Linked DNA regions of Oryctolagus cuniculus. The protein of the gene in region 2 binds, or shares a complex with, the protein of the main gene of each other region. Links are inferred from orthologs where the notes say so. Each region holds a gene or a part of one and is shown on either strand. Other genes may lie near its edges.

Evidence for each region.
Region 1: IQCD (region 2) and TCTE1 share a complex: the UniProt entries of both Homo sapiens proteins name them as parts of the nexin-dynein regulatory complex. The link is inferred for Oryctolagus cuniculus from reciprocal best matches to the Homo sapiens genes DRC10 and DRC5.
Region 3: IQCD (region 2) and DRC12 share a complex: the UniProt entries of both Homo sapiens proteins name them as parts of the nexin-dynein regulatory complex. The link is inferred for Oryctolagus cuniculus from reciprocal best matches to the Homo sapiens genes DRC10 and DRC12.
Region 4: IQCD (region 2) and GAS8 share a complex: the UniProt entries of both Homo sapiens proteins name them as parts of the nexin-dynein regulatory complex. The link is inferred for Oryctolagus cuniculus from reciprocal best matches to the Homo sapiens genes DRC10 and DRC4.
Region 5: IQCD (region 2) and IQCG share a complex: the UniProt entries of both Homo sapiens proteins name them as parts of the nexin-dynein regulatory complex. The link is inferred for Oryctolagus cuniculus from reciprocal best matches to the Homo sapiens genes DRC10 and DRC9.
Region 6: IQCD (region 2) and DRC1 share a complex: the UniProt entries of both Homo sapiens proteins name them as parts of the nexin-dynein regulatory complex. The link is inferred for Oryctolagus cuniculus from reciprocal best matches to the Homo sapiens genes DRC10 and DRC1.
Region 7: IQCD (region 2) and FBXL13 share a complex: the UniProt entries of both Homo sapiens proteins name them as parts of the nexin-dynein regulatory complex. The link is inferred for Oryctolagus cuniculus from reciprocal best matches to the Homo sapiens genes DRC10 and FBXL13.

What each region holds. Positions count from the first base shown.
Region 1 is NC_091436.1:125,847,559-125,851,079, forward strand, and holds part of TCTE1 (dynein regulatory complex subunit 5), read left to right. Parts: intron 1-324; exon of another isoform or gene 325-497; 5' UTR 498-590; coding exon 591-843; intron 844-1,761; coding exon 1,762-2,330; intron 2,331-3,521. UniProt on the Homo sapiens protein: Component of the nexin-dynein regulatory complex (N-DRC) a key regulator of ciliary/flagellar motility which maintains the alignment and integrity of the distal axoneme and regulates microtubule sliding in motile axonemes.
Region 2 is NC_091452.1:10,280,515-10,284,802, forward strand, and holds the start of IQCD (dynein regulatory complex protein 10), read right to left. Parts: upstream 2,801-4,288; 5' UTR 2,579-2,800; intron 1-2,578. UniProt on the Homo sapiens protein: Component of the nexin-dynein regulatory complex (N-DRC), a key regulator of ciliary/flagellar motility which maintains the alignment and integrity of the distal axoneme and regulates microtubule sliding in motile axonemes.
Region 3 is NC_091432.1:111,117,002-111,121,088, reverse strand, and holds the end of DRC12 (dynein regulatory complex protein 12), read right to left. Parts: intron 4,061-4,087; coding exon 3,941-4,060; intron 3,466-3,940; coding exon 3,373-3,465; intron 1,052-3,372; coding exon 921-1,051; intron 704-920; coding exon 575-703; 3' UTR 507-574; downstream 1-506. Other genes in the region: NHERF4 (Na(+)/H(+) exchange regulatory cofactor NHE-RF4), read left to right, coding at 1-55. UniProt on the Homo sapiens protein: Component of the nexin-dynein regulatory complex (N-DRC), a key regulator of ciliary/flagellar motility which maintains the alignment and integrity of the distal axoneme and regulates microtubule sliding in motile axonemes.
Region 4 is NC_091449.1:69,565,461-69,569,591, reverse strand, and holds the start of GAS8 (dynein regulatory complex subunit 4), read right to left. Parts: upstream 2,802-4,131; 5' UTR 2,658-2,801; coding exon 2,541-2,657; intron 1-2,540. UniProt on the Homo sapiens protein: Component of the nexin-dynein regulatory complex (N-DRC), a key regulator of ciliary/flagellar motility which maintains the alignment and integrity of the distal axoneme and regulates microtubule sliding in motile axonemes.
Region 5 is NC_091435.1:82,116,818-82,120,931, forward strand, and holds the start of IQCG (dynein regulatory complex protein 9), read left to right. Parts: upstream 1-1,293; 5' UTR 1,294-1,655; exon of another isoform or gene 1,656-1,773; intron 1,774-2,020; exon of another isoform or gene 2,021-2,286; intron 2,287-3,520; exon of another isoform or gene 3,521-3,743; intron 3,744-4,114. Other genes in the region: RPL35A (large ribosomal subunit protein eL33), read right to left, coding at 78-230, 444-454. UniProt on the Homo sapiens protein: Component of the nexin-dynein regulatory complex (N-DRC), a key regulator of ciliary/flagellar motility which maintains the alignment and integrity of the distal axoneme and regulates microtubule sliding in motile axonemes.
Region 6 is NC_091433.1:176,406,634-176,410,154, forward strand, and holds part of DRC1 (dynein regulatory complex protein 1), read right to left. Parts: intron 1,408-3,521; coding exon 1,224-1,407; intron 1-1,223. UniProt on the Homo sapiens protein: Component of the nexin-dynein regulatory complex (N-DRC) a key regulator of ciliary/flagellar motility which maintains the alignment and integrity of the distal axoneme and regulates microtubule sliding in motile axonemes.
Region 7 is NC_091434.1:141,235,577-141,239,692, reverse strand, and holds the start of FBXL13 (F-box and leucine-rich repeat protein 13), read right to left. Parts: upstream 2,816-4,116; coding exon 2,741-2,815; intron 1-2,740. Other genes in the region: ARMC10 (armadillo repeat-containing protein 10), read left to right, coding at 2,814-3,372. UniProt on the Homo sapiens protein: Substrate-recognition component of the SCF (SKP1-CUL1-F-box protein)-type E3 ubiquitin ligase complex.

The DNA.
Region 1 (3,521 bases), on a different chromosome or scaffold from region 2:
GGCCCAGCCCTGACTGTTGTAGGCATTTGGGGGAGTGAACCAGTGGATGAAAGACCTCTTCCTGTCTGTCACTCTCTGTGTATGTGTGTTTCTCTGCCTTTCAAATAAAATGAAAGTAAAGACATTTCTAAACAGGAAAAAGAGAGCATCTGGCACACAGCAATGATGGTGATTTGCTGTTCAGTTTATTACTATCGAAAAAAGCTGACGGCTCCTTGCTACGGTTTCATGTGTCCATATAGAAAACACACTGTGCATCTTTGGCTGCTTTTTTTATTCACATCCACTCCTCCACCCCTGCTAATTATTACCCTTACTTCACAGAGGCAGCATCTGACATTCAGAGAGGCTCAGTAATTCGTCCAGGGCCACACAGCGAGTCGGTGGGATTTGCACTTGGACCTGCTCCCCTGAGCACCACTCCATACTACCTCTCTTGGCAAATGCCCACTGACATCCTGCAAAGTAGCACCTCTGCTGTCTTCCCCTTGCTGCAGGTCCCCGCTTGCATCAAGGACCCAGGGGTCTGAGACGCTTCCTGTCACAAGGTCAGCGAGGGGCTTCCTGCCTCTACCCTGCCAGCCGCCAGCATGCAGGACCCCACGACGCTAGGCTCCAGCCAGTCCTCTGTCTCCACCCAGGAGCGGCACTCCGCCGCCGACCAACCTCTACCCTCCACGCCCCAGGCCTCAAAGCCCTTAGCCATGACCCTCCCTGCCAAGTCCAAGGCTCCCAATTTCCGTCGCATGCGCCGGGTCATTGCTGAAGATGCTGAGTGGACACTGGCCATCGTGCCTCTCCTCACGGAGCTCTGCATCCAGCACATCGTCAGGAACTTCCACAGTGAGTGTCCCTGCTCAGTGGGAGGAGCCCACCAGGGCTGGGGCAGGTGGGTGGGGACGGCCCGGCGCCGAGGCCTCAGCAGCCGGCACCAGGGACATCCTCAGACCCACTCCACACTTCCCTTCCGCTCAGGGCCAAGACAGCTCCTCCTGCCATGCCCACTGCCAGAGCCCACTGCACCCTCCATGCTGATGCCCTCAGCTAGCTGGGGCCAAGCCAACACCAAGAGCCAGGAGTTTTTTCTAGGTCTCCCACGCAGGTGCAGGGGCACAAGCACTTGGGCCAACGTCCACTGCTTTCCCAGGCCATAGCAGAGAGCTGGATTGGAAGGGGAGCAGCCAGGACACGAACCAGCGCCCACGTGGGATGTTGGCACTGCAGACAGCAGCCTTACCCACTAAGCCACAGTGCCGGCCCCCACAGCAGGGTTCTTTTTTGCTTGTTTGTTGTCTGCCTCCCTCCTCACTAGAATGAAAAAACTTGGAAGGAGACTCTCCGTTTTGTTTTTTGTTTTTTTTTTTTTCATTCTTAGAGCTCTAGCAATAGTGTCCTGTGCATGGTAGGTACTCACAAAAATAATTATTTTGAACAAAGAGATCAAATTAGATTGGGAGCCTCCCAGGTCTGAGGTCGTCTCCTCCATCAGACTAGCTGATAACTGACCATTGGTCCCGCGTCTCAGACTGGGAGCTCCCTGAAACCAGACACCGATCTGTCCACCATCAGGCAGGGAGCACCCCAAAGCCAGGGGCCATGTCCCCTCTTCAGCCTGGGGCTCCCTGAGAGCAGAAGCTGGCTGAGTTCTCAGACAGGAACTCCCCGGGGGGTACAGGAGGACCTTCCCTCTCCTCAGTGACCCCAGACAGGTGCAGCCCAGGGCGCTGTGTGAGCCCCCATCTCCTCCCTCTGTTCCCAAAGATAACCCGATCCTGAAGCAGCTGCTCCCGGAGCACCAGCAGAAGGTCCTGAGCCACCTGTCCCCTGACCTGCCACTCGCTGTGACCGCTAACCTCATCGACCACGAGAGCTACTGGCAGCGCTGTTGCATGCAGCGCTGGCCGGTGTGCCACGTGGCCAAGCACGGCGGCAGCTGGAAGCGCATGTTCTTCGAGCGGTACCTGGAGAGCCTCCTGAAGCACTTCATCCCAGGCACCACGGACCCGGCCGTGATCCTCGACCTGCTGCCGCTCTGCCGCAACTACGTGCGCAGGATCCAGGTGGATCAGTTCCTGCCGCCTGTGCGGCTCCCGCTCCCGCCTCGCACTGGGGACCAGTCGGACTCAGGCAGCGAGGGAGAGACGGAGGAACCCGTCATGGACCACTACCAGCTGGGGGAGCTGGTGGCTGGCCTGAGCCACCTGGAGGAGTTGGACTTGGTATACGGGGTCAAGGACTGTGGCATGAACTTTGAGTGGAACCTCTTCCTCTTCACCTACCATGACTGCCAATCCTTGGCAGCCACCATCAAGGCGTGCCACACCCTCAAGGTACCGTTGGCCCCCAGCTGCCCTTCAGTCCCTTCTCAGCATCTCTGGGATTCCCTCCATTGCCATCTTCTTTCTCCCATCACCTTCCTCACTGACAGAGGTGTGTGTGTGTGTGTGTGTGTGTGTGTGTGTGTGTGTTTAATGCATCCTGCACCGAGCCAGCAAGTTCTGGGGCTGCTGACCTAAACAAGGCACTGCCCCCCATCTCAGCAGCCTGAGATTAGTCATGGAGCTACCATCTGCATTCCAGGCCCTGTCCTAGGTGCTGAAGACACAACAAGCCACAAAATTATGCCATTTGTGCCTCTGGAGCTGACGAGCTGGTGGGATGAATGGCGCTAATCAGCGATGATATAAATGTACAGTTGCAGCTAGAATATGATCGCCAGATTTAGCAAATAGAAGTGCAAGACACCCAGTTAAATTTGAATCTCAGGAGCAGGCGCGTGACCTAGTGGTTAAGATACTGCTTGGGATGCCCACACACACCATCATGGGGTGCCTGAGTTCAATGCCTGGCTCTGGCTCTTGATTCTAGCTTCCTGTTCATGTGTACCTTGGGAGGCAGCAGACTATGGTTCCTCCTTGATTTGGCAAGATAGAGGTCCCTGCACTGGGGGCCGTTGCGTGGAGTGCCAGGAGCCACAGTTTATGGGGCAAGCGGAGAGTAAGGGATGTGGTGACTGTGATCAGCTTTTTCAAGAACTTGGCTGTTGGGCCGGTGTTGTGCCTCAGTGGGTTAAGCTGCCACCTGCGATGTCAGCATCCCATATGAGTGTTGGTTTGAGTTCCTGCTGCTCCAATTCCAAACCAGCTCCCTGGTAAAGCAGTGGAAGATGGCCCAAGTACTTGGGCCCCTTCTATGCATGTGAGAGACCCAGGTGAAGTCTCTGGCTCTTGGCTTTGGCCCAGCCCAGCCCTGGCCAATTGGGGAGTAAACCAGCAGATGGAACCTCTCTCTCTCTTTCGTCTCTCTCTCTAACTTGCTTGTGTTTGCCACCAAGGCGAGGCTCCATCCAGCTGCAAGAAAGCGATTGGTGATAGCAGGGAGATCAGGGACAGTTCTGAGAAGGCAGGAAGGGTGGGATCTAGGACCGAGATGGCCCCAGGCAGGGGGAGAGGGAAAGCAGGGTGGCAGTGGGTCTGTGTTTGCTATCAGGAAAATGAGGGATTCCCCTTCCATGGATGGGA
Region 2 (4,288 bases):
CAGGCCCCCTAATTAGACCGACTTAGGACATTTAGCCATCATAGTTCCCCTCACTGCTCGGAGAGGGAAGTGACAGGTCCCAGAGGGGTTTGAAGCAATGACATGGGCAGCTTTGTAGCTTGAGAGAGAGTGTGTGTGGCGGGGGAGGGGAGCATGGCAGGTGCTTGTCACGGTGTAGCTTGTCACGGTCGTCCATGGAGATGCGGGTGGCCTCATCGGGGACAAGGCAGTGGCCAGACAGAGATGCACAGGGTAGGTAAAGTCCGTGGGATGAGGGAGAGGACAGAGTTCAGGCGGAGGCCTACTTTGGTGGTGTGGGTGCCAGTGAGATGGTGTGGAGGGGGGAACAGGAGTAGGGGCTGAGCGAGGAGAAGCCGCCTGTCTCAAAGTCTGCCGCTCACAGCCCCTGAGCTGTGGCCACTCTGGCTTCGACTGACCGCCCTGGCTCCAGGACCTCCACATTTGATGTTCCTTTGACCAGAGACCGATCCCCAGGCCCAGACTGGGAACTTCTCACTCCTTAGGTCTCGGCTCAATGGCAGCTCCTCCGCAGCCGAGGACAGAGAGCACACGCCAAGCCCTGCAAACCCTCTGCCCGTTCCTTGCATCATATTTATGGCACACACCTGTTGAGGTCTAATCTACCCACTGCAAGGGGACAGTGCAGACTTACAGTTATGCCACATCCCTACGAATCAGCTTTAGAACATTCCCCTCACTCCCCCAATTCCCATGAACTAATTTGCAATGTCTGGTGCCACCCACACTTCATTTATCTGGCTATTCTATATAAGTGAAGTCATATGGTATGGAATCTTTTGTGGCTTTTTGCTTAGCACAATGGTTTTGAACCAGGAGTGATTTTATGTTCCAGGGGGTATCTGGAAATAATCCAGAGTACGTTTGCTTTCCACACCTTGGAGAGGGTACTGCTGGTATCCAGGGGGTAGGGGCCAGAGACACTGCTAAGCATCCTACAGTTTGCAAGACAGTGCCTCAAAAGAGACAATTATCTGTCCCAAATGTCAGTAGGGCTGAGATTGAGAAATCCTGAAGAGCACACAGTTTTTGAGGTTCACCCGCACTGTAGCCCGTTTTCCGTATTTGATCGCTTAAGAGCATCGCATGGGACATCCACAATTTGTCTTTCCATTTCCTGCTAATGTGATTGGGAGAGCAGCGGAAGACGCCTCGAGTGCTTGGGCCTCTGCCGCCCACCTGGGAGACCCAGATGGGGTTCCAGGCTCCTGGCTTCAGCCTGGCCCTGCTCCAGCTGATGAGGCCATTTGGAAAGTGAACCAGCCGACGGAAGACCTTTTTCCTCTGTCTCTTCCCCTCTCTCTGTTACTCTGCCCTTCAAATAAATAAAAACAAATCTTGATAAAATTGTGATAAAATAAACATAAATGTTATCTTTTTTTCCATTGTATTTGAAAAGAGAGAGAGAGAGAGAGAGAGGGAGAGAGAGATTCCTTCCATCTCCTAGTTCGCTCCCCATGCCCACACTGAACACAGCTGGGTCAGGCTGAAGCCAGGAGCCCAGAACTGCACCCAGGTCTCCCAGGTGGGTGTCAGGAACCAAACACCGGCACCGTCACCTGCTGCCTCCTGAGATGTGCACTAGCAGGGAGCAGGCGTCCTGACAAGGGACGCAGGCGACTCCGGGGGCTTCTCCCCCACTGCTCCAAACCCTGCCCTTTATTTTAGTAACCTTGAAGGCCGTTACACCCCCACTCACACGCTTCCATCCCCAGAACCGTCTTCACCGCCCAGACTGTAACTCTGCCCGTGCCGCACCACCCCCCTCTCCTGCCTCCACCCCACCTTCTGGAAGTCCCCTGGGGTGTAATTTCACACTTGCCAGTGGATTATTTCTCCCGTGACTGTCTCCCATCCTAGGCCACACGCTCCCAGCGGGCAGGAGTGCCGGTCATTCTGCTTATCCCTCTGACCGCAGTACCACGGCAGGCACTTGGTTAACACTTGTTGAATTCATAAATACTTAAGGTGGGAAACAGAACACCCTGGGAGCCATGTTAAGAGGGAAAAGTCAAGGCTGGATGTATTTTAGAAAAAAATAATAATAATACTCGCTGAGCACCTGCTGTGCTGCCCAGCCCGGCGCCAGCCCCGTCACTGAGCGCTTACTCCGCTTGACACACAGCTAACCTCTGCGGCTCCACACTTGCCCGAGTGCACAGCCAGCCCCCGCTCTAGGACGGAGATGCGAGTCAGACTCCGGAGCGAGTGCGGACCCAGACGACCCCAAAGGCCCCGGGCTGCTGGGCGGAGCCGCGCTCACCCCCAGCGCCGGGTCTGACCGGGGGAAGCCAGCTAAGACGGGGAGCCGACGGGGTCCCCCGTTTCGGGTGGGAGTGGGGCCGCGAAGCGGGCAGAGCCCACAGGGGGCTGCCCTGTGGCCCCCGCGGCGGTGGAAAGCGAGGTCCAGCCCGAGGCCCGGAGCCGGGACGGCGAGGCGACGGGGCTACTTATTCCTCAGGGAGCTGAGGGGCGCGGACTAGCCCCTAACCCACTTTCCTCGGCGTCCCAGACCTCAGGGCGGACCCCGGTTACTCACCGGTTCCGAGGGGTTCCACCTTTCTCTGCAGTTACAGCGGCGGTGCCCGCGTTGCTAGGTTACCTGTCAGTCTCAGGGGGCGGGCCTCGGAGTCTGACTGACTTTGCTTTTTACCATTCAATTTCTTGTTTTGGTCCGTGAGCCCCACCTCTTGAGGTCTGACCAATCAGAAGCAACGCCTCGCTGCTGTTCCGCCAATTGAAAGACCTGGGACTTTCTCTGGGTTGGGCTGAGTGAATAAAGCGGGGCGGGTGGGAAAGGGCGGAGCTTCTTAGTCCCGCCCCTTTTTAAGGAGGCGGGCAGGCAGTCTTGCTTGGGCAGCAAACGAGAACTGAGGAAGGACGTGACGCCTGGCCAATCAGAACTCAGCATGGCAGCCCAGGTAGCCAGTAGGCCGCAGCGGAGGAGGAATGGGGCGGGGCCGGCGGGGTTGAAGGGACGGTAGGCGGTGGAAGGGAGAGCTGGCGCAGCTGCCGTGGTGGCAGCGGCTGAAGTGGCGGCAGCTGCGGCCCCTGCAACAGCTCCGGGCTCGGCGCTTTGGTGGCGGCGCCGGCGGGCTGGGCTGCACGGTGCGGACCCCGGTGCGCGGTCCGGGTTGCTGGGGCGGCGCGTGTAAGAATCCCAGGGATGCAAGGGCTTGGCCGAGGGAGAGGGCAGGGGTCGAGGGTCAGAGGGCGCGGAGTTAGGGGTTGCGTCTGGGCACCCGCGTGTGGGAGGCGGGCAGGGCGAGCCCCGAAGGAGCACGGGGAAGTCCCGGCCGTGCTGTTCTCTCTCCAGTCCGCGCTGAAGCTTTGCACCCCTTTTCCTCGCCCCTGGCTTCCTGGGACGACCCCAGCGTGGGCGCCCCGACCCGGGCAGGGAGCACGTGCAACTGGAGCCGCACTCCCTCCTCCTGCTTTCTCCCTGGCCCGCTCCTTTGCCTGGCGCCCTGGGGTGACCCTGCGGAGACCGGTGCCCGGTCGGGTTGTCCCAGCGAACAGCGGGACGGCAGCTGGCCTCGAGGCCCCAGGACCTGTCTCTAGGGGTGACCTTCTGGGCTGTCCGTGGACCAGAGCCCACTGGGGGAGCCCAGGCTGGGTCTCAGGACTCGGGTCCCAGCGCTGCTGTGCACTGTGTGACCTTGGGCAAACCCCTTTCCCTCTCTGGGCCCCATTTCCCTCTCTGTAAAATGATGGGTTCGAGTTTAAGTTGGGGGACGGTGCGGCGAGTAGGTTACAGGGAGGAGAGGACTTGGGACTGAGCTGGAGTTTACTTGTAAGAGGCAAGTTAAGCCGGCTAAGCCCCCGTCACCTGTGCGGGGTGGGGGGGCTGTGCAGAGACAGGGTCCCCCACAGCAGCACCGTGGACACTTTGAGCCGGGTGGTTCTTAATTGTTGGGAGAGGGGTCTCACCTGTGAGTTGCAGGCGGTGTAGTGGTCTCCCTGGCCTCTGCCCACGGACAAGCCCCCACCCCTGGTGAGCAAAGTCAATCCTGTTGAGAGCCCCTGAGCCGGGAGGGACATCCGTGCAAGCAGGCTGTCGTGGGTTACACAGTTAAACCTAAAATACCAGTAGGACAATAATGAGGAAATTTAGGGAGCTGTGCGCGCTGGCCTGACGGGGTTAAGAGCCTCTTGCTTTCAGAATGAATAGGAGAGATGTGGTCAAAGCCGAGGGATGGATGCAGGGAAGTGCGTTTGTGAATTCTGTTCCGGAGGATGCTTGAAGATA
Region 3 (4,087 bases), on a different chromosome or scaffold from region 2:
GGGGCAGAGGCCTCGGGGGCCTCAGGTGCCGGGGGATGTCCCTCGGTGGCTGTAGATGGCTGCACCCCGAGGACTAAGTTCTGCCTGAGAAGGGGGTGCTGTGGGGCTGGCTGGGCTGGAAGCCCTCTGGGACTTGACCTAGGTGCCACTCTGGGACTCTCTGGGTCCAAGAATTGGGAGACCCAGCAACCCCCTCCCTGAGTGGGCACCTTCGGGCTGGGGGGGCTGGCCCCTGGACGCTGTGTGTCTGTTATTTAAATGGCCTTTCCCCATAAATCGGACTGCCTGTGTTTTTGTTGGTGGAGATATGGGGCAGTGGTTTAAAGGGAGCTGGAGGTCCCAGGCTCGGGGGCTGGGCTCCAGTTTCTGTAGGAGAAGGGGTGGGACTTTGCCGGTTTTCTCTCTCATCACTCAGCCTTGTGGATCAAGGGACGGGATGCTCAGAACAGAGGTGTCCCCACGGAAGCCACTCCTTTATGACAAAAGGCCACAGCCCACGGTTCAGCTGAGTTCTCCTTCAGGATATTTTATTTCTGGGGTCTCAGAGGGTCCCAGAGCCCAGAGGCTGGCAGCTTCAAAGATCCAGGGGGTTGAGTCCAAGCTGGCGCAGCTGCTCCTTGTGTCTGGCGTGGAGTCGCAGTGCGGCCTCGTCCCACTGGGGCTGGGTGGCCCTCAGCTTGGCCAGGAGCCGGTCCAGGCTGCCCTGCGGATACCAAGCTCCCAGTCCCCAGGAAGAGAGGGCGGCTGCCTTGTGAGCTCTCCCTGCCAGCATTCTTCCTGGTCTAAGGGAGTGGGCACCGTGGAACTCCCTCTGCCTGTGCTAGGGACAGAGCAGGGGTCCCTTGGAGTCCCTTTCTTCTCTTCCCCCCGGGTTGTCAGTCATCACCCTGTGGGGCTCGTGGAGGTGGCGGGGTGCTCACGTGTAAGATGTCCTCGTACTTGGCTTCCATGCTGGCCACGTGGGCCCGAAGCTGAGCCAAGGTGTGGTCCCGCTCTCCGAGGGCCCTCGCTGCCTCCCCCTGTGCAGCCACAGCCTCCCTCTGGCAAGTCTCTGGGGAGCAGAGCAGAGGATGGGAGAGGACAGGACGGTGAATTTGGTGCTTGCACAGTCTCCAAAGGCACCTGAAAAGGAGGCTCTGAGTGTGTTCATTTCAGACTCCGCCCAGGTCAGCGACCTCCTCATAGTCCCTGCAAAGAGCTGAAGGTCCATTGAGGTTTATGAGTAGTGAGCTTGGAGAGGAGCTGGGGGCTAAGTCTGGTTGTCACTGTTCGTGTAAGCTCACGCATGTCTCCCTAAACCCCAGTTTCTTCTTTATTTGAGAGGCATCTGTGGGCACTTGCACACACACACACACACACACACACACACACACACACACACACACCATGGCTCCTCTCTGCTGGTTCACTCCCCAAATGCTTGCAACTGAAGTCAGGAACTTAATCCATGTGTCTGACGTGAGTGGCAGGAATCCAACTACTTGAGCCATCAGCTGCTGCCTCCTGGGGTGCACAGTAGCAGGAGTGGAGCTGTGACTCAAACCTTGGAGCTTCAAAATGACATGTGGGCCACCCAGTCAGCATCTTAATTGCTACACCAAACACCTACCCCAGTTTCTTCATCTTAAAGGGCAAATGAGGGGCCAGAGTTGTGGTGTGGTGGGTTAAGCCACCACTGTGACACTGGCGTCCCACACCAGGGTGCCAGTTTGAGTCCCAGCTGTCCCACTTCTGATCCAGCTCCCCGCTAACGCACCTGGGAAGGCAGAAGAAGATGGCCCAGGTGCTTGGGCCCTTGGAAAACTTGGATGGAGTTCCTGGCTCCTGGCTTCAGCCAGTCCCAGTCCTGGCTGTTGTAGCCATTTGGGAAGTGAACCAGTGGATGGAAGAACTCTCCTTTCTGTCTTTCAAATAAATAATTTTTTATATTGAGAGAGAGAGAGAAGGAAGAGAAGAGAGAGAAGAGAAGAGAAGAGAAGAGAAGAGAAGAGAAGAGAAGAGAAGAGAAGAGAGAAAGAGAAAGAGAGAAAGAGAAAGAGAAAGAGAGAAAGAGAAAGAGAAAGAGAAAGAGGTCTTCCATCCTCTGGTTCACTTCCCCAATGGCTGCAACAGCCAGGACTGGGCCAAGAAGCAAGAGGGAAGAGAAGCAAAGGCTTCCTGGCTTTTATATTTTTGCTTATATAGAGAGTTTATCCACTTATTTAGGAAAAAGGATCTACCAGGTGGTAGGCCTTAGAGATATAGAAGTTAAGAAGCCTAACATTTTCCCTTAGTTTCATTGTAAAAATTAGCTAACCTGAGAAGGGAGATGAAGAATATTTCAGAAAGTTAGAAGGAAATATGACTGGAAATAATGGCCAGCATTATGGTGCTGTGGATTAAGGCACCACTTGTAATACCCACATCCCACATGGGAGCATTGGCTCAAGTCCTGGTTCTTCCACCTTTGGTCCAACTTCCTGCTAATGTGTCTGGGAAGGTTTTGGAAGATGGCCCGTGTACTTGGGCCCCTGCCACCCATGTGGGAGACCAGATGAAATTCTAGGCTCCTGGTTTTGGCCTGGCCCAGCACAGGCCATTGCAGCCATTTGGGGAGTGAACCAGCAGATGGAAGATCTCTGTGTCTCTGTTTCTCTTTCTCTCTCTGTAACTCTGCCTTTCAAATAAATAAATAAATCTTTTAAAAAATGCATAGATTTTCAATGTTTCTTGCACCTAAGCTTATCCTGTAATTCCATTTTTCCATGAGTATTTTGATGTGCTCTGATATGCCCTGGAGAGACGTGGCAGTGGCAGGGAGTGAGGTGACAGCTGGGTCTGGAGATTCCAGGCAAGGGGGGATAGGGCGAGGTGTGCCTCTTCCTTACTTTGCCCTAAAGGGTCTTTTTTTATTTTTATTTTTATTTTTATTGTTATTTTTTGACAGGCAGAGTTAGACAGTGACAGAGAGAGAGAGACAGAGAGAAAGGTCTTCCTCCCGTTGGTTCACCCCCGAAAAGGCTGCTACGGCCTGTGCGCTGCGCGGATCCGAAGCCAGGAGCAGGGTACTTCCTCCTGGTCTCCCATGTGGGTGCATGGCCCAAGGACCTGGGCCATCTTCCACTGCCTTCCTGGGCCGCAGCAGGGAGCTGGACTGGAAAAGGTGCAACCGGGACTAGAACCCGGGGTGCCAGCGCCCCAGGCGGAGGATTAGCCTAGTGAGCTGCATGCTGTCCTCACCTCTGCCTGATCCTCACTGCGGGAGCCAAGGTTGGGGGAGGGGAAGACGATGGCAGCCTTCTAGGAGAAGACCTAAGTTTGCCCCCGCACTGAACCTGGATCTTGTCAGCCTCCCTTGGAGAGGAAAGGCCCAGGGCAGGGCGGGGCACCTACCCAGCTGCTTGCGGAGACCCCTCACTTCCTCCTCCAGCTGCTTGCTGCGTCTCTCCATCTGCTCCTGCAGGGCCCTGCACCGGCGACTCATCTCTGGAGGGAGGACGGTGGACGGCCAGGGATGGAGGAGGGATGGAGAAAGGCAAGGAGTTGGGGGCGGGAAGGAACTGTGTGGTCCAGGAGACAGGAGCCCAAGGAACTGCTCAGTTCCTGTGATCCTGGGATGCTGGGAGACCCTGGACACCTGGGGAAAGGGAAGGACACCAGGCCGCCTCCCCACTCCGGCTTAGGATCAGGGCCCCAGCCCATCTGCCCGCTCACTGCTGCTGAGTGAATGAAACAGTGGCTGGGACTGCGTCCTGTGTCCCCCAGTGCAGCTGGCACTGACACTGGCCCCAGGCACCCTGGAAGGTCCCTGCCTGCGAGCCCAGAGGCCTCCTTGCATCCACCAGGAGTTGCCTGCTTTGTGCTACGCAGGGAAGGCTGAGACCGGGCCCGGCAGTCAGAAGCCCCTCTTATCTTCTCCCAGGCCCTTGTGTCCTGCCCAGCTGCTGAACCGACCACGCACCTGCATATACGGCCTTCCCCTCGCTGCGGGCCTCTTCCAGTTCAGCCTCCAACTCTTGCAACCTCTGCTTCAGCCTTTCTTCAGAAGCCTTGGCTCGACGGGCCCCTTCCCCCTGTAGAGCTGCGAGCGGTCCCGGAGCCCTGCTCA
Region 4 (4,131 bases), on a different chromosome or scaffold from region 2:
AATTCATACTGAGGAAACTTCTCAAAAGAAACACAAGAGCTTCTGGCTCAAAGATATTTAGCCTCAGCAGTATTATAATAGCAAAACTAAGCAGATAAATAAAAGTAAATTAGAAGAAGCATGTAAACATGTTCACAAAATAACATTAAGTGAAAGAACATTCACTTTTCAAGGCACAATGTCAGTAAAAGCACAGAGAACCAGAAGGTTCCTAACACAAGAGGGTTTGGCCCACAGCCTATTGCAAAACTACAAATAGGTCAAAAAAAAAAAAAAAAAAAAAAAAGTAGGACAGGCTTCAGCTTTCCTGGCATCTCATTCCACTTAAGACTTAGTTATAGGGCTGGCGCCGTGGCACAGGTTAATTCTCCACCTGCAGCACCAGCATCCCATAAGGGCAATGGTTCAAGTCCTGGCTGCTCCTCTTCGGATCCAGCTCTCTGCTGTGGCCTGGGAAAGCAGTGGAGGAAGGCCCAAGTACTTGAGCCCCTGCACCCATGTGGGAGACCCAGAAGAAGCTCCTGGCTTCAGATCGGCTCAGCTCTGACCATTGCAACCATTTGGGGGAGTGAACCAGTGGATGGAAGATTGATATTCATATTGATATATCTCTTTCTCTCTCTCTGTAACTCTTGCAAATAAATAGAATAAATCTCTAAAAAAAAAAAAATAAAGACTTAGTTCTCTTTCAGGTATAGCCACAGGTCACTTTCTGTAAAGTTTGTTCTCTCCTAAAACCTTGTCCCCGAGGGAAACCACTACGTCTTACTTGAAGAGAAAAGGGGGCGCAGCACAGAGGACTTCGGCAGGGCAAAGGCCTCTGAGGGAGGATGCCACCCCAGAATCTCACAAATGCTGCAGCAAAATGGCACGTGTCACCAGGTCACAGAACAAACAGTTAAACCAGGGTACCTAGCTGCTCTGTGTGGCTCACACAGAGTTAGATCTCGTCATCAATCAACACTTAGATTTCTTATAAATATCCAGATTTCTAGCTTCTCCTGAAAAATTAGAAAACAGCACTAGAATCCAATAGACTGCGCACATGTCCTCAGCAGAGGGGCACGCGTGTCCAGGTGATGCCAGTCCCTGTCCTCACTCCTGGACTGCACAACGTGCCGTAAACCAGGCCTGTGTCAGGCCTGCTGCCGCGGCAGCTCTACCTCCACAGGGAGCAGACAGCAGCACAAGGGTCGCTGCAACGCCCGTGCACCCACGCTCCCCCGCCAGCCTAACGGACCCGCCCACACCACACCTCTGCCGGCACTGCGTGGTCTTCCCGCACATCCCTGGAGCACCCCTTCGCACTTCAGCTCCTTCATATTCGGGCTTATTAACCCTGCCACCTGAGTTCACACAGCACCCTCAGGCCCCAGAGACACTCACGGGGGGGCGTCCCGCCAACACGGATGCCACAGGACACACCGCGTTTGCCACGTGTCCCAATCGGAAGTGAGATTTTAATGACATCATGATGTTCTCTAGCCCTTTACACCAAAATGGACAAGCAGCTTAAAATGTCTCAAAGTAACTACAGACATCACCCCATGCCCCAAATAAGAAGGCCACAACGAAGGCAGCCGGACACTGTTCCTCCTTGTTGGAACGTTTGTAAAAACAAGCACGAGGGACCAGCGCTGTGGTGCGGGGGAAGCTTCTGCCCACGTGGTCATGGGTTTGAGTCCTGGCTGCTCATCGTAGGATCCAGCTCCCTGCTAATGGCCTGGGAAAGCAGCGGAGGATGGCCCAAGTGCTCGGGCCCTGCACCCACGTGGGAGATCCGGAGGAAGCTCCAGCTCCTGACTTTGGCCTGGTCCAGCCCTGGTTGTGGCCATTTGGGGAGAGAATGAGCAGATGGAAGATCTCTCTCTCTTCACACACACTCTCTCTCTCTCTCCCTACCCCCCAATTCTTTCAAATAAATAAATCTTTTAAAAAAAGAATGATTAATCAGACTCAGACAATGTGATTGAAGTAAGTCACGTTCTGCTTAAAGACTTTCTTTTTGCTATAGTGCTTAATAGGAAATAAAATAAAAGAGAATGCGCTGCATGTATGTGCTATGGGAACAGTTCTACAAACACCAGCTACCTGAAAGGGTTACAAAAATAGCATTTAAAAATATTTTCATTTTTTAATTATCTGAGAGAGAGAGTGCTCCCATCCACTGGCTCAGTCTCCAACGTCCACATCAGCCCGGACAGGGCCAGGCCAAAGCTGGACGTCAGAAACAGGGGCCCAGTCACCGCACCCATCGCTGCTGCTTCCCAGCCTCTGCACTGCAGGAATCTGAAGTCAGGACCCAGGGCGGGCACCAGCCCCAGGTCCTCGGATAAGGGACACGGTGTCCTAACCACCAGGCCAAACACCAACCCCGGAAAACAGCTTTCCTACCAGGACACCATGTCTTTCCACATTCCTACCACCCTGTTAGAACACGGCTGCAGGCGGCTGCGCGGCACGCGAGCAGACACGCAACGCGCTGGAGAGCTGTGGGCACACGTGGGCACAGGGGCGGCAGACGGGCTCGGGAAGCTCACCTGCTCCTTGCTCATGTCCTCCGGCGCGAGTCCATCGACGATCGGGGTGCCCTTGGCCTTGCCCTTCTTCCCTTTCCTTTTGGGAGCCTTGTTTACAGAAGAGAAGGTTGCTTCCATCTTTGTTGACGGTTACGTGGGGTGACCACGTAGGGTGACCGCCAATCGGCCTTCCCCCTGGGCCGGCTGGGCTCGAGTCCCCGCTGCAGAACGTGCCCCTCTCTGTCCAGGGCCTTGGGGTGCCCGGAAGAGCACTCACGGAGCGTGTTCATCTGCCCTGCGCCTCAGCCACACGATTACCCTTCGGCACACATGGCGAGGCCAGAGAGGAACGGGCTCTCCTTCCAAAAGGCAGGCACCCATTGCACACCCACTCACCCCTTGGTATATGCTCATAAAGGAAGACCCCTAGTCCCTCGCTGATGTGACCGGGTCGGCCATAATGCCCGGTAACCACCGCAGGCAGACGTAGGGAAAACCATCAGTCCTGGCCATCTGGGGGTTCCTTTTCCCGAATATGAAACTCCACCGAGAACCCGCATCTAGACAGCCTGGGCAGACGGCACCCACTGCGAGTGATCACGACCGGGCTGAGAGCAAGGCTTCTTCCCCAGCCCAGGGCGCCCAGGCTCGGGCCGGACTGAACTTTCAAACCCTATCCTGCCTCTCTTACTCCCAACCACCCTCCATGCCACGCACTTGCAAGACTTACTGCAAATGTCACATGCAGATTCGAGAGAAAGAAAACCGCCCACATTCCCGCAAGCTTATTTTGATGTTCCCCCGTTGCTTTTCAAGACTAGCAACTAGCACCGTAACTCCTAAGGTACCGGGCCGTCCGCGTACCCCCCACCCGCAGGGCTTTGGAGGAAGATTCGGCGCCACTTCGCGGCCCGCTGCGGGGCCAGCCGCGGCTCCCGGAGCGCCTGGACACGGGCCCCGCACGCTCTGAGCGCCCAGCGCCCCAGCGCCCCAGCGCCCGGAGGTCCTCGCGCGCCGCAGCCCCTGCGAGGCGACGCCCCGCCACCCAGGCGTTCGAGTCTGCACACCGTGCAAGCCGGGCGGGCGGGGCGGGCGCGAGGAACACCCCAGCGAGCGCAGGACGCGGGACAGCGCGGGTCCCACAGGCGCGCCGGGATCCCCCGCAAACGCGAGGCCGGCACCTCAGACCCGGGGCCGCCTTCGCTGGGACGCCCGCGGCCGGCACCGCCGACGCCGGGCCCAGACCCCGCGGCGCGGACCCGGGCCCCGACTCCCGCCAGTCCTCACCATGGCGCCGCTGACCGGCCCAGCCGCGAACTCCACGCGAACGAGCCGCCGCCGCGGCTGCGCCGTCTCCCGGCAACGCCGGGCGAGCGCGCGCCCCGGGAATCCTCGCGGGAATCCTCGCGAGACCGCGCGCGGGCCGGGGCCGGGGCGTTTCCGGCAGGGTGCGTGCGGCTGCCTCCCGCGCGGAGTGCGGGGCGCGAGGACCAGTGAGCACCCGAGGGCCCAGCACGACCGGATTAAATTCGCGCCCAGCGTCGGCCCCTGGGGCCCGCCCGTGAGGGGCCGTTGGCCACGAGCCTCTGAAAGACGCCGAAAGAGAGTTCCA
Region 5 (4,114 bases), on a different chromosome or scaffold from region 2:
CACAACAGCACTTTACCAACATCTTATTTATTCTTTTGGTAGAAAAATGAAAAATGTCAACAGCATTATAAACTTACTTCTTTGCTTTGTACACATAAGCACACCTCTTGCCCAAGTAGAATTCAGTTTCATCCCGAGCATAAACACCTTCAATTTTAAGCAGTGCCGTGTGTTCCCTTTGGTTCCGGAGACCTCGCTTATAGCCAGCAAAAATGGCCTTGCACCACAGTCTAAGACACAAGATACAGAACAGTGTATGAAAGCTGTTAAAGCATCTACAAACCACCAATATGATTTGACCCCAATGACTCCCGCCTACTTCGGTCATGTCCGATTTCACTATGAGTATCTATAGCATCTGATTTTCTCTTCCAGCATTTCGTGCTCTTTTAAGCCCATGTCTAACACAGAAACTACAAAGCGAGAACATTAGAAACACGTACCTTCCAGACATAGCTGCCTTCTAGAAGTCCTGCTCCCTGCAGGCCTTAAAAAAAAAAAAAAAAAGACTCAGTTTAAAGCCGTGCCATGCCAATTTCCCACCTTGTCGTCCGTTTCTTAAGCCTGCTGTGTCCTTTTTGATCGGCACTCCACCTGGCATGGGGGGGAACCTTAATTATGCTATAAGGTCTATACGAAAAGCAGTCCGTCAAGACTTGCAAACTTCAGAATGGCTGTTACCTAATCAAACTCCAAAGACAGATAAGCCAGGGCAACACACGGAAAGAGCCAATTCCTATAAACTTCAAGAGGAAACCCCCAAAAAAGAAACGAAAACTCAGGAAAGAATGCAGTTAAGCGCAGGGAAAAAACTTCTATGAATCGGCTTAGGACAGAAGAGCTGCGGAGATTACAGGCAAAAACATGTTTGGAGTAGAAGCAAATTGAAAAGGCCCAACGTTAAGCCGCTCACGCGCCAACTTCAGACCGACAGAGTGCATCTATTTCACATCGCTTGAGCCCAGGAACCAAGTCCCATTACCGGGGCACCAGGTCTCCGGGCGCGAGGGGACCTGCACCATCAGCCCCCCATCTCTTCCATCCCGTCCTCCCTCTTCCTGGAAACCATAGCAATCACTGGCTGGCAGGGCCTCAGAGCCGCACCAGACCCTCGTCAAGGTATATAGGTGAACCCAACCCGGTTATTTGCCTCCAAAGTTCAGCAGCAAACGCTCCACTCACCTCCACAGGCTCCAAGATGGCGGAAAGAGGAAGACGAGGCCCCGCCGCGTGGCCTTGTGGGATAAATACCTCCCCGCCCCGCCCCAAATTTAGGCATCTTCCGCGATCGCCAGAAAAACAAGCAGCAGAAATCATCTTGGGACTGAAGTGAACTACATTCAAGAGAACTTTTACAAATTCCTTTTCTAGGTCTTTCTATCTTTCTAAGCTGCAGTATGTATCATTTGGGAACAGCGGCGGGCAAGAAGACAGCCAGCTAAAGGAAGGGGGGGAAGGTCCCCAAACTCGTGTCGCCATAGAAACAGGTCCGCTTGGTTCTCGGGTACGCGGATTCCGTAGGTGGAAAGGCGAAGACGTTGCTCTGCCTCAGGTGCCTAATGCCGGGGTTCCTTTCCCATCTATGACACGGGAGTAGGGCGAACGGAGACTCGCGTCCTACCCGAGTCTGGAAGAAAAAGGCCGGGATCGCGAAGGCAGGAGCTCTCCCTTCTCTTCACCTATGTTTTTACTTCTCTCCCCCTCTACTCCTTTATCTCTTGAGAAATGGCTAAGTCCTTACTTCTAATTGCAGCCTTCGTTTTGACTGAGGGGGTAAGGAGGCCTGCTCTGCCTGGGCCTTTATAGGAGAATGTTTGAGCTTCCCGCTAGAAGCTCAGGGTGGCCAGCGCCGCGCCCACGCGTGGTAAATCCTGGGTAGAAACTACAGTGGATGGATTAGTGGACAGCAGAGATTTAAGCTGCCTAACTTTTGCACATTTATCTGAGTTGCCCTGCGGATTCTTTGATTATTTAGCCAGTAGTTTACTGAATGACTACCGCTTACCAACATTTATTGTAGGTTTGGAGGGTACTGCAGCAAACCAACCAACCAGAAATCTCTGGGCGAGACCATGCGTCTGCATATGAGCCATTCGAGGGTAATACTTCCATGGAGAAAAATTCAACAGGCCACCATAGGAAGGCTTTTTGCCCTCCCATCTGAGGTTTCTGAAGATGGAGAGTGACTCTAGCTGATACTTTTTTTTTTACCAGGATTCAACTGTGTTGACAAGGAACACAAGGGCGCCCGGGAGGCTGCTGTAATGATCCTAATGAGAGATGATGGTGTGTAGACAGGGCTGTTGAGTCCTGGAGTTCCTAAGGCATTTTAAATGTAACACTGGCAAGATTGGCTGATTAGTAAGTCACATTTAAGTCAGATCCTCTCTTAGGTACAGCAGGATAGGGCTTATGTCCCTTGTAGCCACCTGCCCCATCCCTTTTTCTCTGCCACAGAAATGTACTAGAAATCCCGCTCTTAAGAGATTAATTTCTTTAAAAAAAAAAGATTTATTTATTTATTTGAAAGAGTTACACAGAGAGAGGAGAGAGAGAGAGAGAGAGGTCTTCCATCCGCTGGTTCACTCCCCAATTGGCCGCAACGGCTGGAGCTGCGCCAGTCAGAGGCCAGGAGCCAAGAGCTTCTTCTGGGTCTCCCATGTGGGTGCAGGGGCCCAAGCACTTGGGCCATCTTCTACTGCTTTCCCAGGCCGTAGCAGAGAGCTGGATCAAAGTGGAGCAGCCAGGTCTTGAACCAGTGCCCATATGGGATGCCAGTGCTTCAGACCAGGGCATTAACCCACTGCGCCACAGTGCCGGCCCCAAGAGATTAATTCCTTAAGGTTCTAAATGAAAGTCTTCCCAGGGGAGAAGCATACATGAAGTGCAAGTTTCATTCATTTCACAAATCCTTATTGAGCACAGGGGCTGAAATGTAGAATCTGTCAGCATCATTGTCATGTTTCCTGGTCTGATGGAACTTAACGGCCTAGTGGGGGAAATTTACATAAGCATTAAAAATTGTGTGGCGAGCTGTGCTTGAAAATAGAGTGCTGTGAGTGCGTGAACAGAGGGCTCCTAGTGCAGCCTGATGAGTCAGAGCAGGTATCACTCGGAGGAAATGTCATCTAAGGTGTTTTTCAAACCATGGGTGATGAGCATTAATAGATTGTGATCATAATACTACTTTTTAAAAAGGTGTATTTATTTATGTGAAAGGCAGACACACACACACACACACACACACACAGAGACACACAGGTATTCCTAATGCTGGTTCACTTCCCTAGGTCTGGCCAGGGTAAAGCCAGGAGCCAGCAATCCCATCAGGTCTCCCATGTGGAGCCCAAGTACTGGGACCATTTCCCAGGTGCATTAGCAGGAAGCTAGATTGGAAGCAGAGTAGCTGGGACTCAAACTGGCACTTGTAGTTGGGATGCTGGTGTCACAAGCCAGTGGCTTGGTCCTCTGTGCCACAATGCCAGCAAAGACGTAATTTTTGTTCATTTATTTATTTCAGAGACAGAACTCCCATCTGTTGATTCACTCCCCCAGATGCCTGCAGTGACTTGGGCTGGTCCACCTGAAACTGTGAGCCAGGAACTCACTCCATGTCTCCCACGTGGGTGGCAGGAATTCATTTAATAGGATCAGCACTGCTGCTTCCCCGGATCTATATAATAAAGCTGGAGTCAGGTGCCAGAGCCCAGTATTGAGCCCAGATGCTCAGATATGGGACACAGGTATCTTAACTGGAATCTTAACCACTAGGCAAAATCTACTGCCCGGGGTACTTTTTAAAAAATTAGTGAGATTTTGTTATTTATGTATTTACTTATTCAAAAGGCAGAGTGACAGAGAAGGAGAAACAGAGAGTTCTTCTATCTGCTTGTTCACTCCCCAAATGAACACAATAGTCAGGGCTGGGCCAGGCTGAAGCCACGAACTAGGAACTCCATCTGAATCTCCTGTGTGGGTAGTAGTTACCCAAGTATCTGGGCCATCATCTGCTGGTTGCCCAGGCACACGAGCAAGAAGCTTTATCGGAAGCAGAGCAGCTGGGACTCAAGTCCTGCCTTTTGAATGCAGGATGCTGGAGTCACAAGTGGCAGCT
Region 6 (3,521 bases), on a different chromosome or scaffold from region 2:
GTCTTCCTTCCGTTGGTTCACGCCCCTAATGGCCGCCAGGAGCCGGGTGCTTCCTCCCAGTCTCCCATACAGGTGCAGGGCCCAAGTACTTGGGCCATCCTCCACTGCCTTCCTGGGCCACAGCAGAGAGCAGGCCTGGAAGAGGAGCAACCAGGACTAGTACCCGGTGCCCCAACCGGGACTAGAACCCGGGGTGCCGGCGCCACAGGCGGAGGATTAGCCAAGTGAGCCACGGCGCCAGCCTCAGGACATGGGATGTGACAATGATTTCTTGGCTATGATACCAAAAACACAGGCAACAAAATCAATGGAGAAATGGAACCGCACCAAACTCAGACACTTCTGTGTATCCAGACAGCAAAGATGGTACCAAGGCAACAGAGGGAAAGAGTGAACTCACACCTGGTGGGAGGTTGGTACCCAGAAGATGTAATTCCACAACAGCAAGAAATAACCCACCCAAAAATGGCTGAAGAATTTAAACAGACATTTCTCCAAGGAAGAGATATACATGGCCAGTAAGCACATAAGCTGCAGAACATCTCCACTGATTAGGGAAATGCACATTAGAGGCGCTGTGAGACACCAGCTCACACCCACCAACGTGGCCACCATGAGGACAGCAGCCTACAGCAAGTGCTGGCCAGGACGCCCGCAGTTAGTGCGCTGTGTGCTACCACAGACAGCGCTATGGAGTTTCCCAGACAAATTAACAGTAGAATTAGCAATGATCCAGCAATCCCAAAGGAACCCAGAGCGGGACCTCAACGTGAAACGGGTATTCCCATGTTCAGGGCACCACCACTCACAACAGACAAGGTGAGAGCAACCCAGAATGCCCCTCACAGATGAGCAGATAAAGAAAATGCAGCACACACACAGGATGGAATATTCCACAGCCTAAGCAAGAAGCTGACCCTGCCACGGGCTGCAGCCCAGGGGGACCTCAAAGACATCACGCCACTCCACAAAGGACAAACGCGTCCTGCGAAGCTACGACTGAAGCCCAGCTCACAGAAGCAGGGGGACAGAGGGGACTACGGAGTCCCAGGGCTGCAGGATCACTGCAGTGCACACGGCACACTCGACAAGGAGAAACAACTAAGGACTTGAACTTGAGTTGTGTGCAGTGTTGCTGGTTCCATCGGGGTGGGGGGGGAGCAAGCCGGCGAGACGCCCCAGGCAGACCCCGCTCGGCCAGGACGGGGTGGGGCGCCTCTCGCCTGCTGCAGCTCGCTGATCAGCTTGTTCTTGTCCTCGATCAGCCCGGCACAGTGCAGCTGCTGAGTGTTGAGCACCTCCCACAGGTCCTGGGGAATTCTCTTCTGCTTGCCCTCCTCCCACTTGGACGTGATTTCATCAAATTTGTCCTGGCTGGTCTTCACTTCGTTCTCCAGCTTCTCGATCCTGCAAGACAAACCAGCCAGCTCCTCTGGAGTTCACAGCACAGGGCAGGCCGAGGGCAGCGGCCCACACCGAACCACCCGCGGGGGAATCTTCCTTCGGTTTCAGCAACTTAAAGCAAGGAAGCAGAGTGACACTCCACATACTTACACACACACCACACACGCATGGACAGGCGTCAGTCACACATGAGCTCTGCTCCCCTTACATGCATTTTAAAAATTAGAAAAAGTCAACCAGTCGCGTTCTCCTGATGGGCCTGGAGTCAGGTAGGCCGTGCCCCAGTCCTGACCTGGCTGCTGACTGTCAATCACACACAAGTTGCTTAACCTCCTCCAGCCTCACTCTCCTCATCTGTAAAATGGGGGCATGCAATGAATCCACCAAGGCTGGAACACGACTGAAGGCAGGCGCTGGAGCTGAGACGGGAGCCCCCTGCCCGGGGACCCCCCGTCCAGGACATGCCAGACTCTCTCCTGCAGGACCACCACAGACAAGAGCCCAGGAGTCACAAACATCCCGTGGGGCTCTCCCCCAACCCCGTCCCCTTCCATCCCCTACTCTGCCTTCTAAGCTAGCAGACATCCTGAACATTAGAATCTAACGAACATTTTTCTTTTAAGAAATGAGAAAAGAGCTGTCAGATCACTTTTCTTCTTCCTTTTATCTGAAAGACAGAGTGACAGAGAGAGATCTTCTATTCACTGGTTCACTCCCTAAGTGGCCACAGTGGCCAGGGCTGGGCCAGGCCAAAGCCAGGAGCCTGGAACTCCATCCAGGTTTCCCACGTGGGTGGCAGGGGCCCAAGCATCCGGGCCATCTGCTGCTGCGTTCCTGCTGCTGCAGGGAGCGGCAGTAGAAGTGGAGCAGCTGGGACTCGAACCAGCGCTGCTAAGGGACGCCAGCACTGCAGGTGACAACTTGACCTGCTGTGCCACAAAGCCAGCCCCAGGGTGTCTCTAACACACACTGAACTTGCTTGCAACCCTTGCTTCCATCTTCCCTCAGCGTCTGTGGGATGAAGCCTGATTCCTAAGCAGGACATTCAGGGCCTTTCACACATTGGCCCTTGGGGCCAGCGCTGTGGCACAGTGGGCTAAGCTCCACCTGCGATGCTGGCATCCCATATGGGCACCAGTTCAAGTCCCGGCTGCTCCACTTCCGATCCAGCTCCCTAATGGCCTGGGAAAGCAACAGAAGATGGCCCAAGTGCTTGGGCCCCTGCACCCACGTGAGAGACTCGGAAGAAGCTCCATCGGGTTTCCTGGCTTCAGATCGGCCCAGCTCTGCCCGTTGTGGCCATTTAGGGACTGAACCAGCAGAAGGAATACTACTCTGTCTCTGTCTCTGTCTCTCTCTGTAACTCTGCCTCTCAAATAAATGAAAAAAAATCTTTTAAAAAAATGTTGGGGTTGGCACTATGGCATAATGAGCAAAGCTGCCACCAGTACCAGCATCCCACATGGGCGCCAGTTCACGTCCTGGCTGCTCCACTTCCGATCCAGCTCTCTGCTGTGGCCTGGGAAAGCAGTAGAAGATGGCCCAAGTCCTTGGGCTCCTGCACTCACGTGGGAGACCCAGAAGAAGCATTTGCCTCCTGGCTTCGGATCAGCACAGCTCTGGCCATTGCAGCCATCTGGGGAGTGAGCCAGTAGATGGAAGACCTCTCTCTCTCTCTCTCTCTCTCTCTCTCTCTCTCTCTTGGCCTCGGCCTTTCTGTAACTCTTCCTTTAAAAAAAAAAAAATTCGACGCCTGCTAGGGATCAGCTAATTCAGCTCCTGGTGCAGTCCAGACAGGCAGCGGGAAGTTTGAAAAATACAGTCACCAGCTACAGACTGCTAAGGCTGGGAGGCTGCTATCCACAGTCCCTCTACCTTCGAGGCACACGCTGCCACATTTGTACCTGACTCTGATCAACTTAAAGCCAGGACTGCCCGGCCACCTTCCCAGCCTCCCCTCTCTTCTTCCACCATCACCCCCACACGTTTTCACTCTCACGAGAACATCATGGGGTGTCGTGACTCTGCCCAAGTGTTCTCTCTGCCTAAAATGCCCACTCTCCAACCTGCGAACTCCTTGCCGTCCCTCGCAGCAACCCCAAATGGGAAGTTTGCCT
Region 7 (4,116 bases), on a different chromosome or scaffold from region 2:
TGTGTCAACTAATGCCAGCACCTGATGGCTATTAGAAGTGAGTCAGTGAATAGCCAATTCTACATGAGGTCTCTGGTGCCCACAAGTCTCAGCCAAGAAGGTACCTGGGCCTTGCCCATAACTGAACTGAGAAGTCCAGTTGTTAGTCACTTCAGACGGCTCAGGGTCACTTAGAAATCCTGTAAACTCTCGCTCTCTCCAACTCTGCCTTTCAAATAAATAAATAAATAAATAAATCTTTAAGAAAAAAAAAAAAAGGCCGGTGCCGCAGCTCAATAGGCTAATCCTCCGCCTGTGGCGCTGGCACCCGGGGTTCTAGTCCCGGTTGCTCCTCTTCCAGTCCAGCTCTCTGCTGTGGCCCAGGAAGGCAGTGAAGGATGGCCCAGGTCCTTGGGCCCTGCACCTGCATGGGAGAGCAGGAGAAGCACCTGGCTCCTGGCTTCGGATCAGTGTGGTGTGCACCCACGTGGACCTGGTTAGAGTCCCTGCTGCTCCACTTCCAATCCAGCTCTCTGTTAATACACCTGGGAAAGGAAGTCCCTGGGCCCCTGCACCCAAGTGGGAGACCTGGAAGAAGCTCCTGGTTCCTAGCTTTGGATAGGTCCAGCTCTAGCCATTGCAGCATTTGGGGAGTAAACCAGTAGACAGAAGATCTCGCTCTTGCTCTCGCTCTCTCTCTGTAATTCTGTTTTTCAAATAAATAAATAAATCTTTCACATACAAAAAAAATAAATAAAAAGGAAAGAAAACCCTGTTACCATCCTGTTCAGCCTCCACTTGGATGCTGTACTCAAACTGGGCTTCCTTGATGGCTGAAACTATCATTGCAGTTTTCATTGTTGCCATAAATCAAATTAGCCTTCCCGGCTAATTTTTCCCCGTCTGTCTCTGCTGCCAGAAAATCGACCCACATCTGGGTTCAAGTGACCCTGATTGGTTCTTTGCCTTCTTTCTTCTCTAGTTGTGGCCCACTCCGCCTTCTGAGTGTGCACCTTTTCTGCCTCCCCCAGATAAGCAATGATACAGGTAATCATAGCAATAGGCTATCCAATGGGTGGCTAGAATCACCACCAGGAGGCCAGACAGGGCAAAGGGAACAGTCTGCAGCCCAAGTCCATCCCTGCAATAAAAACTTCTTTATCTGGCCCTTACGTCCCAGTATTCCACATTCCCAACTTTTGCAACACCTGCTGTAGTTCAGCGTACATCTGCCACCTGCTGATGGCCCCAGGCATTAAGCCATACCATGTGGGCTCCCACCAGAATCCAGTCTACAAGGGCGGGTGTCCTGCCATATGACGGGTGCATCCACCCTTACATCCCATAGTTGGAGCAGCCAAGCTGCAATGGATTCAGAGGCCTTCTGCCTAACTGTAGACTCCAGATCCAGTATTTCCACCTGAGTATACAGGCAGAATACTGAAGGCTCCACCACCTGGGGGGTGGGGGTGGGAGGGCTGCAGCTGTCCCTGTGGAACCTTCCATTGCTGAGTCTTAATTTTTTGGGTGACAACTAGGCAGGCCTTGAACAGCATCAGAGACTCAGCATCATATTCGTCATCCAGGACATGACCACCACCACCACCACCACCACCGGTTTATCTCCAGAGTCAGGTGTGGCTTGGAGGACAGCAACCTCGATTTCCAGGGCCAGAATGCCATCTTCCCTCACCTTTCGATTTGCCTGTCTCCTCATTCTCCAAGGAATGCCCTATAACCTAGCAGTGGTTTCCACCAGAAAGACCCACCGTATGGCCCCTGCCACTGCCCAGGCATCCTTCTCTAAGGTCTCCCCAAGCCCATGCAATGTCTTTTCTTTTTTTATTTTTTCAATTTTATTATTATTTTTTTTTTTGACAGAGTTAGGAGACAGAGAGAAAGGTCTTCCTTTTTCCGTTGGTTCACCTCCTAAATGGCCACCACAGCCGGCGCACTGCGCGGATCGGAAGCCAGAAGCCAGATGCTCCCTCTTGGTCTCCCATGCGGGTGCAGGGCCCAAGCACTTGGGCCATCCTCCACTGCCTTCCCGGGCCATAGCAGAGAGCTGGCCTGGAAGAGGAGCAACCGGGACAGAATCCGGCGCCCCGACCGGGACTAGAACCCCCGGTGCCGGCGCCGCAGGCGGAGGATTAGCCTAGTGAGCCGCGGCGCCGGCCATGCAATGCCTTTTCTATACTAACGGGCGCACCATCCACTTTGGCCCACTCCTGGGGCAGGGGGGTCGCCCAGGCAGACAAGGCCACTGCCACCCCTGAATCCCGTCCTCTGGCGGGGAAGAACGCTCCACAGGGGCCTGAGACGAATCCCGCAGACTACCCCAAGTGTTAACTCAGGAGCTCGGCTGCAGATTCGGACAGACCAAAGAAAAACAGCGCAGCCGACTGCAGACACACCTCTTTATTACGTTGGCACAGACGGGGGCATGTTGCACATCTATGATTGTATTTTTAAAATGACCAGCTATGGCTAAAAAAAAATAAATGACCGGGCTTGGCAGCAGTGACGACAGCGAGGGTGCCGTGTTTCTGAGAGCTGTCACCCCCTCTCGCCTTTCAGCCATCATCACCGCCCCCCTCTCTTGGATACATACCTCTGCCCAGACCTCGGACTAGCTCAAATAACTCACCACCTACTCCCAACGGCGCGCCTCCCTCCCCGCCCACCGTTGACCCCTCCGGTCCCCCCTGCCTCCTCCCCTCCCCACAAAGGATGCGTGTCCGCCGCCACGTGGCTCCAGTACCTCGCAAACCTGAGGAATGTAATTCTCCTTGAAGTAGTTCCTCACCGTGGGGCTGGCGGTGCGGAGGGAGGCCATGGTCGCGGGCCTGACCCGGGAGCTGCGGCCCGCGGACTCACAGCGCCCGGCGCGGGAGGCGCCGCGCCACGGACAGGGGCGGAGCGCGTCCCGGCGTTGCCCTGGAAACCGGAGAGGCGCGGGGGGCAGGGCCGGGGCGGCGGTCTCGCGTGCCGGCGGGAACCGAACCCCGCCTCGGGGCGGCGGGCAGGGCTCCCCTGAAGGCGCGAGGCCCGTGCAGCACCAGCCAGAGTCTGGTGCCCAGCCCGCCGGGAGGCAGCCTCGGGGGACCCGGAGTGGGTGGTTTTACGGTGTTAGCGGGGCGGCTTCCGGGAGGCGGAGCTCGGGCCGCTGTTTCCTCCCTCAGCTCAGCTGCGCTCCGGTGGCGTCAGGCCCCGCGCACGCTGCAGGCCTCCACCAGCCTTGTCCCAGCGGCGGCATGATCGGTGTCCGGCACGCGAGCTGGGTGGCGGCGGGCCTGGTCCTGGGGGCCGGCGCCTGCTACGGCATTTACTTGCTGACGCGGGGCCGGCGGCGCGGTGGCCGCGGGCTGGGGCCGCGCCGCTCGGGATCAGCTGGTGAGGCCACGGGGTGCGGGGGTCCATGCAGCGCCCCTGAGGCGGGGAGGGAGACAAACCGAGGAGTCGGCCGGGAGGAGGGGACGGGCTGGCGCGGTGGGGAAGCCGGGGGCGAGGGGGGCGGCTGTGCCTGGCCTTGGTGGGTGTGCAGGCCTGAGCTACCTCCCTGGTCTCCACGCCTTTGTTCTCAGCCCCGGGATGGAAAATTGGCCACCCGTGGAGAGTTTGGTGCTGCCCGGGCCTCACTTGAAAGCTTGCGCCGGGGCCGTGGCGGTCTGGAGGGATTCCCCTGGCCCCTGCGGGGGCCCAGAGCCACGTGCAGCACCCCCGGGAGAAGGCACCCGCCGTGGCGCCTATGAGGGGAGAGGGGCCTGGAAGTCGCGGTGGTCCAGCCCCTCACAGCTTGGTGCGTGCGTGTGGATGCGTGTGTGTTGTCTGCTCTCGAGGCATGCACCCTCCCGGCGGACAAGACTGGGATGAGGTTGCTGTCGGGAATCCTAGGTTTGCTAAATGTTCTGGAGAGAAAGTTCAGGCCCTGGAAACTGTTAGGGAAGTGGTTAAAAATAAAATGTGGGCGGGGGTTTCTTGGGACACCCGCCTCCCAGGCAGGCATACCTGGTTCCTCTATGCACTACTCTGCTTCTAATCCAGCTTCCTGCTCAGCGTGCCCTGGGAGGCAGCAGGTGATGGCTCAAATACCTGGGTCCCTACCACTCACCTGGGAGACCCGGATGAAGTTCCTGG